Sus scrofa: one gene and its partners. The protein of the gene in region 3 purifies or fractionates together with the protein of the main gene of each other region. This does not show direct contact. Links are inferred from orthologs where the notes say so. Each region holds a gene or a part of one and is shown on either strand. Other genes may lie near its edges.

Region 1 (3,393 bases), on a different chromosome or scaffold from region 3:
AGTTGGATTTGTTTCCGCTGTGCCACAACGGGAACTCCCTAGAGTTTTTTGTTTTTTTTTTCCCCCTCAGCAGTCAACAACTATAACTTTTCTGCTGGGATGATCGAACATCAGAGTCCAAGAGAAGCACATTTACCCCTTTCCAGGACCACTCTTGATAAATCAGATTTGCGCTTATTTAAGTCACATCTGCTTCTGGAAGCCTATGTAGGAAAAGAAGATTGTACAATTGGATGCAATCTCCAAAAGGCAATTTTAAATCAGTGGCACTAAGAAAACGTTTAAATTCAACGTCAAAAGCCAGAAATGAGAAGATTAGGAAATAGTGAGTCGATTAACCTAAGGAATGGAAAAAGCAAGTTAGCATTAGCATTTCTTTCTTTCTTTTTTTTTGGCTGGAGGCATGCAGTGGCCTGAGATGGGATCTCAGCTCCCAGACCAGGTATTGAACTTAGGCTGCAGGGGTGAAAACGCAGAGTCCTACCTAACCACTAGACCACCAGGAAACTCCCGGATTTCTTGGATACCTGTATACAATATTATGCCTCATCATCCCTCTATTATGAAGTAATCGGATTAAAAATTTGTGATTACCCCATGACAGAAGCTCAAGGCCTAAGACATCCTCCACAATTTAATAAAAATGATCCCTCAAGAGGAGCATGAAAAATAAAAATCCCTGCTTGAATCTCTCATGCCTCATCTTCTAAATTAAGATCCATGTAGAATTCCACATAGCAGACAGAATGTGAAGTTAGGTGTATGTAAGAAGAGAATTCCTTGATGGAAAGAACTAAAGGCCTGGGAATATTTCCACAGGGTCAGTAAACACACATAAAGGCATTCCTATTCACAACGGTTGGCCAAGTGAAGGTGGCTGTTGCAGATGAGTCTTTCTCAAGCTTTCCTCCCTTTCCCCAGCCCCCTCCTATGACTCATAGCATAGCACTACTGCTACAGCAGCCACCAAGAAGTCTTGTATCCCTGGGGTACTCTTCCCTCTCATCTCCCTCGTTTGTTTTTAAACCAATCCTCTCTTCTTACAACATACAAAATAAGAGCTCTTTCAAATCATTTTAATAACATGGCAGTGATTCAAAGTATGAAAAAAAAGATTCAAACTTTTTCCCTTTAAAGGGAATGCTAGCATGACTGCTTCACAACAAGCATGATCAAAGGCAATGATGAGACCGGATTCTAATGAGCAAGGGTTGGAGTAAATCTTCAAGGCTCACAGATCGAAGAGCTTGGTTGCACAGTCTCTTGAGCGCTAGCAGGCAGCATACAATTTTAAGAGATTCTCAAAGGACGGGGCGCGGTTGCTGGGTCATAAGCACCTTGAAGCGTTTCTTGATAGTGATCCGGTGTCGAGAATATTTGTCGTCTGGGGAGAACCGAGCAGGATGGGCCGAGCAAGTCTGTTGTCCCGTGGGGTCGAGCTTCTGCTCGAGGAGGAAAGAGATAACAAATCTCAGTAATGGAGTGGTGAGAAAACCCTATCACTGAGAGTCATGAGAGATGGGGCCTGGGATGGGGAGGGGGCAACGCGGAAAAAGGTAAACATGAAGACAGGACACGCGACGGTCGGATCCAGGAGCCAGACACTCCTGCTTCTACTACGCGTAGCTTCTGGGCTTTCTAGTTCCCCTCACCCAGGCAGGCAATTCACTGGCTTGCCTTGACCGCCCCTCCCAACTACAGTTCTCGTCATGCCCATTTACAACCTGTTTCTTCTCACCTTTAAGGTATAGACCCGGTCTCCCTGCTCGTTGAGATAATACTGGAGAAACATGATCACGCTGAAGCCAGTAGACGCAGGTCCTTCCGCAGCTGCTTCTAACTGAAGGCCTAAAGTGTTTGGCAACTTCCTTCCGGTATAGACGGAAGTCTCGCTCTCAAAGCACGCCGGGAAATGTAGTCCAACTTAGGCCTTTCTCCAGCCGGCCGGAAGGGGGCACTACCGCAGGACTTGGCCAGTTGCAATCCAGTTGCAAACTTGCAGGCGTTATGAGACACGTGGAGTGTGCCCACTGTGTGCTAGGCACTGCTTGGCGTCAGTGGGGGGAAGGGATGGATATAGATTGAACATTAATGAATAAAATCCTGTCTTTATCACAAGATACACACCCATTTCAGAGGCAGTGAGCTTCTATTACCTGGAGAAACCAGGGCTCCAGGACCCAGAACCCCTTTTACTTTAGGGAAGAAAGAAGAAGGTTTTCTTCCCTCCCCTCTTTTACATCCGGTTCCCTCGCCCTATTTCAAAGTATTGGCGGTAAAGAGTGCATGATGGGTATTCAATATTCTGTACAGCGAAAAGAGCGTGAAGTTATTTTATGAAACTGGTGAAGTATGTTTTAATGGTCGAACCAAGATTCAAACTCAAGTCTCTACCACAAATTCAACGCCCATTCTTATAGTGGTGAGTAGCTAATAAGACGCACCCCTTAGGGGTATTTCGAATTTTTAAAAGAACGTACAAATTCTCCTTATAGGACTTCTAGTTAAAGCAATGAATTTGGAACCGAGATATCTTTACGAAGGTGGCCGTTATTATTTATAACGGCAGAAACGTTGTAATATATATTAAGTTTATAACCAGAAAAAGCTGAAAGCTTTTTTAAAAAGAGTATAGTTTGTGTTTATTATAATTGCATAAAATACCTTTGCAAGGATTCAGAGGAAATTTGGTTTTCCCTGGGGTAAATAACTCGGTTCCAGAGGAAAGGAATGGTTGGAGACTTGTTATATTTCATTTTGCATAGTTTGACTTTTGAACCATGCTGACATATTACCATTTAAAAAATTAAGATTATTAACAAAAATTTTAAACAAAAATAACAAACAAAAAGAAGGACTTTTTGCTCTTGAAATTTTAGGCTGAATAGCAGTTTTTGATGGAATGGGAGGCTTTTCAGCCAGGGTTAAGGCTAAGCCTTCTGTGGACTGCAGAGCTGATGGTAGTGGACAGTTTGGGAACTGCAGCACAGCTTTCCAAGGAAATGATATGTATACAGCAATTCAATGCCCTTGATCTTCTAAGACAACCCTAATTTCAAACATTCTGTTCCCTTGATCCTTAAGTACACAGACTATGTGCTCTGAATTTGGTTCAGAAAATACAGCCAACACTGAATTAAGTCAAGGGTTTGCCAGAACCTGTTATTAATAGGAAGTCAGTTATAGAACTGGGTAGCATTGAAAGACAAAAACTAGATGTATTGGTGAAGAATTCTGTAGGGAACCAAGATGTGGTTGGGAATCCAGGAAAGAATCTGCAAGTTGCCCCAGAGAGGTGTGCAACAATTGTGTTGCCATACTCTGATTTGGAGGGAATTCCTGGTTACTGCCCACTTCCAGAGCCCTTTGTGGAATCTCTCCCTAACCCCACCC
Region 2 (4,277 bases), on a different chromosome or scaffold from region 3:
GCAAAGCCAAGAATCCACCCAGGCCTATCTTTTAACTCCAAAGCTCAGGCTCTTTCCCACTATGATCTGCTGCCACATACCTTATCCCAAGCCTCCTTACCGTCTTAGAGGGGATATAGACGTAGGGCAAATTCCGGTCTTCACACATAACTGGGAGATGGCAGTATACCTCAACAGGTAACGTGTCTCCTGCCAAAACCATGATCCTGAAATGAGAGAAGCCACTGTCATTTCCAGCTTGCTTGTTCCCTCTTTCAGTTATAAGTGCCACCTCTGAGCTGGCCATTGGGAGTACAGAGATGGGTAAGTTGGCTCCTGCCATCAAGGATCCCAATTATTAATGTGTGTCGCCAAACCTCTGGAAGTACGTGCAGATTGGTTTGGGGAGTGCATTCCTCTGGGAGGTGATCTCTATTGCTTGGCAACAAGTAAACCCACCAAGTGTAACAAAGGTATTGGGCTGAGACAGATGAGGTATGGGAGGGATGCCAAGCAGTAAGAGCTCAGAAAAGAAATCAGGAAGCAATACTTGAGAGGAGACCTGAATGATGAACATCGGTCAGGCAGCCCATGGAGGGGATGAGGACAGGGAAAGCATTTTAAGGTCCAGAGAATCAGTGCAGGTTTGATCCTCAGCCTGGGGCAGTGGGTTAGGGATCTGGTGTTGCCATAGCTGTGGCACAGATCAAAGATCACAACTTCGGATTGGATTTGATCCCTGGCCTGGAAACTTCCGTGTGCTGCAGATGCTGCCAAAAATAAAAAAAATAAAAGGCACCTCAAACTTGTCTAAAACCAAACTTGTGATCTTCCTGTACAAACTCAGCCTCTTCCACTGTTCACTCTCTCAGTGAGTAGGCCCTCTGTCCATTCGCCTCGAATCCATACCTCTTCACTGTATGTCCAAAAGTCTTCTCATCCATCCACTTTAATTCTCTCCATCTCTGCCATCACTAACCTAATCAAAATTGCCCTCACCTCTTCTGCACCAAAACAGCCTCCTATCTCAACTTCCCCATCTAGTCTTCCATCTCTTATCCTTCCCAAAGCTTCCAGAAACATCTTCTTAAGGTGTAAATGTAATTATGTCACGCCCTGGCTTTAACCCTCAGTGGCCTCCAAAGCTCTGAGTACAAAAACTAAACTTACCATGGCTTACAAAGCCCCATGAGAGGACAGCACTTCTGCCCACTACTATCCTCTCCTGCCCTGGGATTCACTTTCCTCTGACAGAATGCTCCTCCCTCCCCCACACAAATTCCTAGAACTTCAGACCTCAGCTATCCCACCTAGCATCACCCCCCCATCATTTTTTATATCTTGAGCAACTACAATGTACCACACACTTCTGGAAAGGAAATAAAGCAGTGAGACGGTTCATCCTGTCCTCAAAGAACTTATTTTCTGATATAAGTGAGAGAGAAAGGGAGTAAGAATGTAAATAAGTAAGGAGGTTCTCGTCGTGGCATGAACCGTGTATCCATGAGGACGTGGGTTAGATCCCTGGCCTCTGCCCTTGCTCAGTGGGTTAAGGATCTGGCATTGCTGTGAGCTGTGGTGTAGGTCGCAGATGTGGCTGGGATCCCATGTTGCTGTGGCTGTGAGGTACGCCTGGGGATACAGCTCCGATTAAACCCCTAGCCTGGGAACCTCCATATGCCTTGGGTGCGGCCCTAAAAAGACAAAAAAAATAATAATAATAATAAGATAGAAACGTAAATAAGTTCCTGAATCTGACAAATGCCAAATAGGGAAGATGTAGGGTAATGAAGTCATTCTCACCGCACCCTGTACTTTTTTCCCTTCTGTAGTTGCCTATGACAAGTTGTAATCCTGTGTGGTTAATGTCACTATCTCCTCCTGTAGCAAGTGCCTGAAAAGGGGCAGACAGTAAATAGTGGCTGCATGAATGAAGCTGGGATCTACCTGAAGTGAGTTGGCTTATATGACTGGCTTCCCCTGGAATTCTCTTTCCCCATGGCCGTCCCTTAGAGCTCGTGCAAGTGATGTATTGACATCTGTGCTGAAAGGAATTTACCGACTAATCACCTGAATATCAGGGCAAGTCAGAGCACTTTTACCTACTAAGTAGGAGGGATACTTTCGTCATCGTTTAGAAATGCAAAACCGGGCAGTAGGGGGTTCTTACCCTTTTTCGCCTTTGTTGATAAATTTCTGAACCTCCTTCACCCCGCGCCGAATCTGCTTCTGCTTTACGGCTGCAACGACAGGGGAATCAGCCCCGGGGGCCTTGGGCCACCACCAGCGTCCCCACCCTGCCCGGCGTCCGCCGCATCTCTCTTTTCTAAAATTTTTATTTATTTTCTGAGGCTGTAGATTTTCTTTAAAAAGTTTTTTATTATAGTTGACTTACAATGTTCTGTCAACTACTGCTATATAGCAAAGTGATCCTGTTATATATTTATATACATTCCTTTTTTCCACATTATCCTCCAGCACAGGTGATTAGATATAGTTCCCTGTGCTATACAGCAGGATCTCATTGCTTATCCAATCCAAATGCAGTGGTTTGCATCTGCTAACCCCAAACTCCCAATCCATCCCACCACCGCACCTTTCTTGATGCATTTGTAGAGCTTCCGTGTCAGTTTGCGAGAAGCCAGGGGTTGCGCGATGGGGTTCAGATTCACCAGCAGTTCATGATAAGTGCGCTCCCCGCAGCACGCATCTGCCTGGGCCTCCGGCCCGTCGGGATCTGCCTTTATTTTGGTCATGGCAGCAACTCGGCAACCAAGTGCCCAAGAACCGAGTACACGCGGCCGGCGCTTCAGAAATCGCTTCCGGGTCATGCCCCTCTGAGGGAAGCAGTCAGTACACGACAGCCAATTAGGAACCCAGGTCCCAGACTCTGACCAATCACCGATGCTAAACTCGTTAAATATAGAGCGGGGGGCAGAGTCTCGGCGGTAGGGGCAGGACCATTCCCACAGCTGAGGCGGGGCGGATTAAGGCCGGAGTCCGAGGACCTCTGAGGGAGGGGGCGGAGCCCGGAGGGAGGCGGGGCCTGGAGGAGGAGAAGAGGGACTGGGACGGCTGCCTCGGCTCGTCTGGCTCGTCTGAGAGTTGCGCGTCAACCATACTGGAGACGAGGGGGCGGAGGCTGTACCTGTGGGGGGCGTGACCAAGTCTAAAAGGACGGATCCTAGCTTAAAGGGCGGGTTCTGCTACCAGAGGTCGGCCCAGTGTGATTCCACACCTCCTTAGAATCTGATCCCTCCAATGGGCAGTGCCGAGCCTGGTCAGGTCCCGGGTCCAGAGCCGGTCCTGGTGGCGTATACCCTAGGTACTAAGGTTAAAGTAAAGCCTTAACTTAATTGATAACGATTTCTTCGTTCTAGCACGATTTCTCACGCTCTGCTCTCTTTCCTGGTAAGGGATGGCCCCATTCATTGAGTGCCTCGATCTGGACCGCTTTTCCCCAGAGAGCCGGTGACTTTCTTTCCCGCCCTTCCCGCAGAGACCTGCTCAGGTGTTACCCATGTGGGAGATTTTCCTGACCACACTTAACCTAAAATTCCAGTCCTTGGGAGTTCCCTTGTAGCGTAGCTAGTTAAGGATCCAGTGTTGTCACTGTTGCTTCTGTGGCGCGGGTTCCGTCTCTGGCGGCGGGAACTTCCACTGGCATGGGAAAAAAAAAATTGCAGTTCAGGCTCACCTTGCATCGGCATCCCCTAACCCTCTGTTTTCCTCATCGTTCCTACCACTGCCTGGCATCACGCACAGGGGAGGCATTGCGGAGACAGCGGGAACTGCAGAAGAAGGCTTGAACACTGAAGCTGAGAAGTTGGGGCGTCGTGGGGAGAGCTCTGAGTAGGCACTCTGTGTGTAGTTATCTGTAGAGGATTAGTGGATGGTGCCGCTGGAGAGGCAAGCAGGCCTAGACCAGGGTGGATCTTGTACCTCTGCCTTATTTCTTGTGTCCTATTGGGTGGATATTAATTAGATCGTTGCTGTAAGTCAGTTGCCTTGATCATGCGGTGTTAGGCCCTCCATTTTTGTGGTGGTGGAACAGCCCAGAAAGTGGAAATTTTTTTTTTTTTTTCTTTTTAGTGCTTCACCCACTGCCTATGGAAGTTCCCAGATTAGGGGTTGTATCAGAGCGGTAGCCACAGGCCTACACCACAGCCACAGCAATGCCAGATCTGAGCAGCGTCTGTGACCTATACCACAGCTCACGGCACAGCTAGATCCTTAACCCACTGAGCGGGGGCCAGGGATCAAACCCAAGTCCTCATGGATCCTAGTCAGGTTTGTTA
Region 3 (3,184 bases):
TGAATACAGGAAACGTGAAAGAATACCCACTGGTCATTTAATTCAAAGCTCTAAATTCAATCAGTCATTCAATAAATATTTACTAAGCACCTAACCCCTGCCAGGCATCCAAGGGTCTGAGAAATGGATGTGGAAGACACAGTCTCCCAGTATTCACATGTTACCGTGAATGTGTAACATACTTTACTGAGAATAACCCTTGTGTCTAAGTGATTAAATAGTAAAGCCTACTGGATCTTGCCCAAATATTGGAAAAAATCTGCACAGATAATGGAAAGCTCATTTATATAAAACAAATATTAACTCTACATATAGATAATGCTTCTAATATGTAAGGCTTTCTTCTCTGTATGCTTCACTGCTTAAAAAAATAACAATAGTACAGGAATTATCTTGCACAGTGGGTAAAGGTTCTAGCACTGTCAATGCAGCAGCCTGAGTCACTGAGGCAACACAAGTTTGATCCCTGGCTACAAACTTTCACATGCATGGAACAGCCAAAAAAAAAAAAAAAAATACTACATTTAAATTTATTGGTAAATCATATTTATAATCAAAATTAACTTTCAAAGTACAAGTTTATAAAAATAGTTTAAAGGCTTTTAATAAGACTTACCTTATTTTCAGACACACCAAGAAGACAATTATTTTCAGCATAGTTTAATACATGATGGAACTTGCTCCAAGTCTATTATTAGATCTTTACATAATCTTTAATTGGGCAGGGTTTAGTTTTAATTAAATATTACATAATTGGACTTTCACCCCATCAATTTAAAGTTAAATTCTCATGAATACAATTTCACAAAGGTTATAATATACATATATCAACTGAATATATACCTCAACTACTTACAAGTGAAGGAAGCATTTAGTAATTTACAGTGTTTTAAAAATCTAGCTCCATAATCTCTTTAGAAAAAAAATCCTTTCCATATAATATACAAAGTCCACATTTCTCAGGAAATGCATACATCCACCTAATAGTAAGGTCCAAAATGAGAAGAATTACTATCTTCAGAAGAGGAGGGAGGAGGCAGTGGTGGGGGTGGTGGGGGTGGAGGGAGGGCGTATGGTAAGGGAAGTAATTGGTGAGGGGCCACCGCAGGTGTAGCCCAACCCATGTTTGCAGATACAGGCGGTGGCGGCGGGGGTGGGGGAGGGGGAGGAAGGGAGAAATTGTGTATGTCGAACACGGGAGGAGGGAAAGGGTACTGTGGCATCACGAGACTATCCTGTCTCTGAGGTGGAAATCCTGGGGTCTCCTGAGGCGCCATGGGTCCTGAGTGGTAAAACTGTGGCAGTGGGGGCTGGCCAGGGCAAGGCCGAGGGTGTCTACCCCGAGAAAATCCCCGCGTGAATTCTCTGTTGCAATAGCCTGCTGAAGGCTCCGAGGCAGAGCTGTGAACATTCCAATTCTGGTGTACTTCTGCAAAATCTTCACCTTTAGGGAAAAAAGGATAACAAAATTCAAATTAATTTTAATACATCAAAAATACAGTTTAGGTGGCCAAGGGGCACATGAAAAGATGCTCAATATCAATAAATTATGAGAGAAATGCAAGTCAAAACTACAATGAGGTATCAGTTCAACCCAGTCAGAATGGCCATCAATAAAAAAAATCTACAAAAATAACAAATGCTGGAGGGGATGTGAAGAAAAGGACACCTTCTTACACTGTTGGTGGAAATGTAAATTGGTACAACCACTGTGGAGAATGGCATGGAGGTTCCTCAGAAAACTAATATAGAACTACCATAGCACCTAGCAATCCCACTCCTGGACCTATATCCGGATAAAACTGTAATTCAAAAAGATCCATGCACCCCTATGTTCACAGCAGCACTATTCACAATAGCTAAGACATAGAAATAACCTAAATGTCCACTGACAGAAGAATGGATAAAGTTATGGTACATATGTACAATGGGATACTACTCAGCCATGAAAAAGAAAATAATGCCATTTGCAATGACAGGGATGACCTAAAGATTATCATACTAAGTGAAGTCAAAAAAAGACAAACATCATATGATATCACTTATATGTGGAGTCTAAAATGACACAAATAATGAACATATCCACTAAACAGAAACAGATTCGTGGACACAGAAAAGAGACTTGTGGTTGCCAAGGGAAGGGAGTGGGTGAGGGGAAGGACTCGGAGTTTGGGACTGGAAGATGCAAACTATTATATACAGAATAGATAAATAACAAGGTCCTACTGTATAGCACAAGGAACTATATTCACTATTATGTGATAAACCATAATGGAAAAAAAAATCATGAAAAAGATATGACAACGAAAAAGAACATACATGTATAACTGAACCACTCTGTTGTACAGCAAATACTAACACATTACAAATCAACTATGACTCTAAATTAAAATTCTTAATTGTAAAAAATTACTGTTTAAAACTTTAGTAATACCTTTTCTTTAACTTCCAGTGTATCTTAATAATTATACATTTATAAGGCTTAAAATTATCAATTTTAAATGAATCCAAAAGGTCAGAGGATCAGGAAAAGAAGTATGTTTCTTAAGAAAAAAGTACTGATGGGGAGTTCCCATCGTGGTGCAGTGGTTAACAAATCCAACTAGGAACCGTGAGGTTTCGGGTTTGGTCCCTGGCCTAGCTCAGTGGATTAAGGATCCGGCATTGCCGTGAGCTGTGGTGTAGGTTGCAGACGCAGCTCGGATTCCACATTGCTGCGGCTCTGGCGCAGGCCGGCAGCTACAGCTCTGATTAGACCCCTAGCCTGGGAACCTCCATATGCTGCGAGAGTGGCCCAAGAAATGGCAAAAAGAAAAAAAAAAAGAGAAAAGTACTGATGGGCACAAATGATTCTACCAGGCCCAGTTTGCCTTTTAGCCCTGGGAGCTCTTTTTACATCCATAAGCTTGAAAAGCACCCCTGAACAACACATGACTCCGACTTCCCCTGATCAAGGCTACCTCAAAAGCTAGCCAGATGACAGAAAGCAAAGAGAAATCTAGATGTTTCTCTCAGGTTTATTACTGAGGAACTTACATAGATGTAAATGAAGATTGAAAATGACTATTATTACATTTACTCACCTGGTTCATTAAATTCAGATCTGAACTTTTTCCGCCCTTGAATCTGAGATTTTTTCCTCTGTTTGGCTTCTTTTTCCTTTTCATCATCACTGAAATCTAAG

Evidence for each region.
Region 1: the proteins of NAF1 (region 3) and NOP10 purify together in Homo sapiens (co-immunoprecipitation; 6 studies listed by BioGRID and IntAct, with this or other methods). This does not show direct contact. The link is inferred for Sus scrofa from reciprocal best matches to the Homo sapiens genes NAF1 and NOP10.
Region 2: the proteins of NAF1 (region 3) and NHP2 purify together in Homo sapiens (affinity purification with western blotting; 3 studies listed by BioGRID and IntAct, with this or other methods). This does not show direct contact. The link is inferred for Sus scrofa from reciprocal best matches to the Homo sapiens genes NAF1 and NHP2.

What each region holds. Positions count from the first base shown.
Region 1 is NC_010449.5:80,159,530-80,162,922, reverse strand, and holds NOP10 (H/ACA ribonucleoprotein complex subunit 3), read right to left. Parts: upstream 1,900-3,393; 5' UTR 1,793-1,899; coding exon 1,739-1,792; intron 1,443-1,738; coding exon 1,302-1,442; 3' UTR 624-1,301; downstream 1-623. UniProt on the Homo sapiens protein: Required for ribosome biogenesis and telomere maintenance. Part of the H/ACA small nucleolar ribonucleoprotein (H/ACA snoRNP) complex, which catalyzes pseudouridylation of rRNA.
Region 2 is NC_010444.4:80,221,971-80,226,247, reverse strand, and holds the start of NHP2 (H/ACA ribonucleoprotein complex subunit 2), read right to left. Parts: upstream 2,810-4,277; 5' UTR 2,736-2,809; coding exon 2,576-2,735; intron 2,220-2,575; coding exon 2,150-2,219; intron 207-2,149; coding exon 101-206; exon of another isoform or gene 1-100. UniProt on the Homo sapiens protein: Required for ribosome biogenesis and telomere maintenance. Part of the H/ACA small nucleolar ribonucleoprotein (H/ACA snoRNP) complex, which catalyzes pseudouridylation of rRNA.
Region 3 is NC_010450.4:51,971,759-51,974,942, forward strand, and holds the end of NAF1 (H/ACA ribonucleoprotein complex non-core subunit NAF1), read right to left. Parts: coding exon 3,084-3,184; intron 1,445-3,083; coding exon 981-1,444; 3' UTR 530-980; downstream 1-529. UniProt on the Homo sapiens protein: RNA-binding protein required for the maturation of box H/ACA snoRNPs complex and ribosome biogenesis.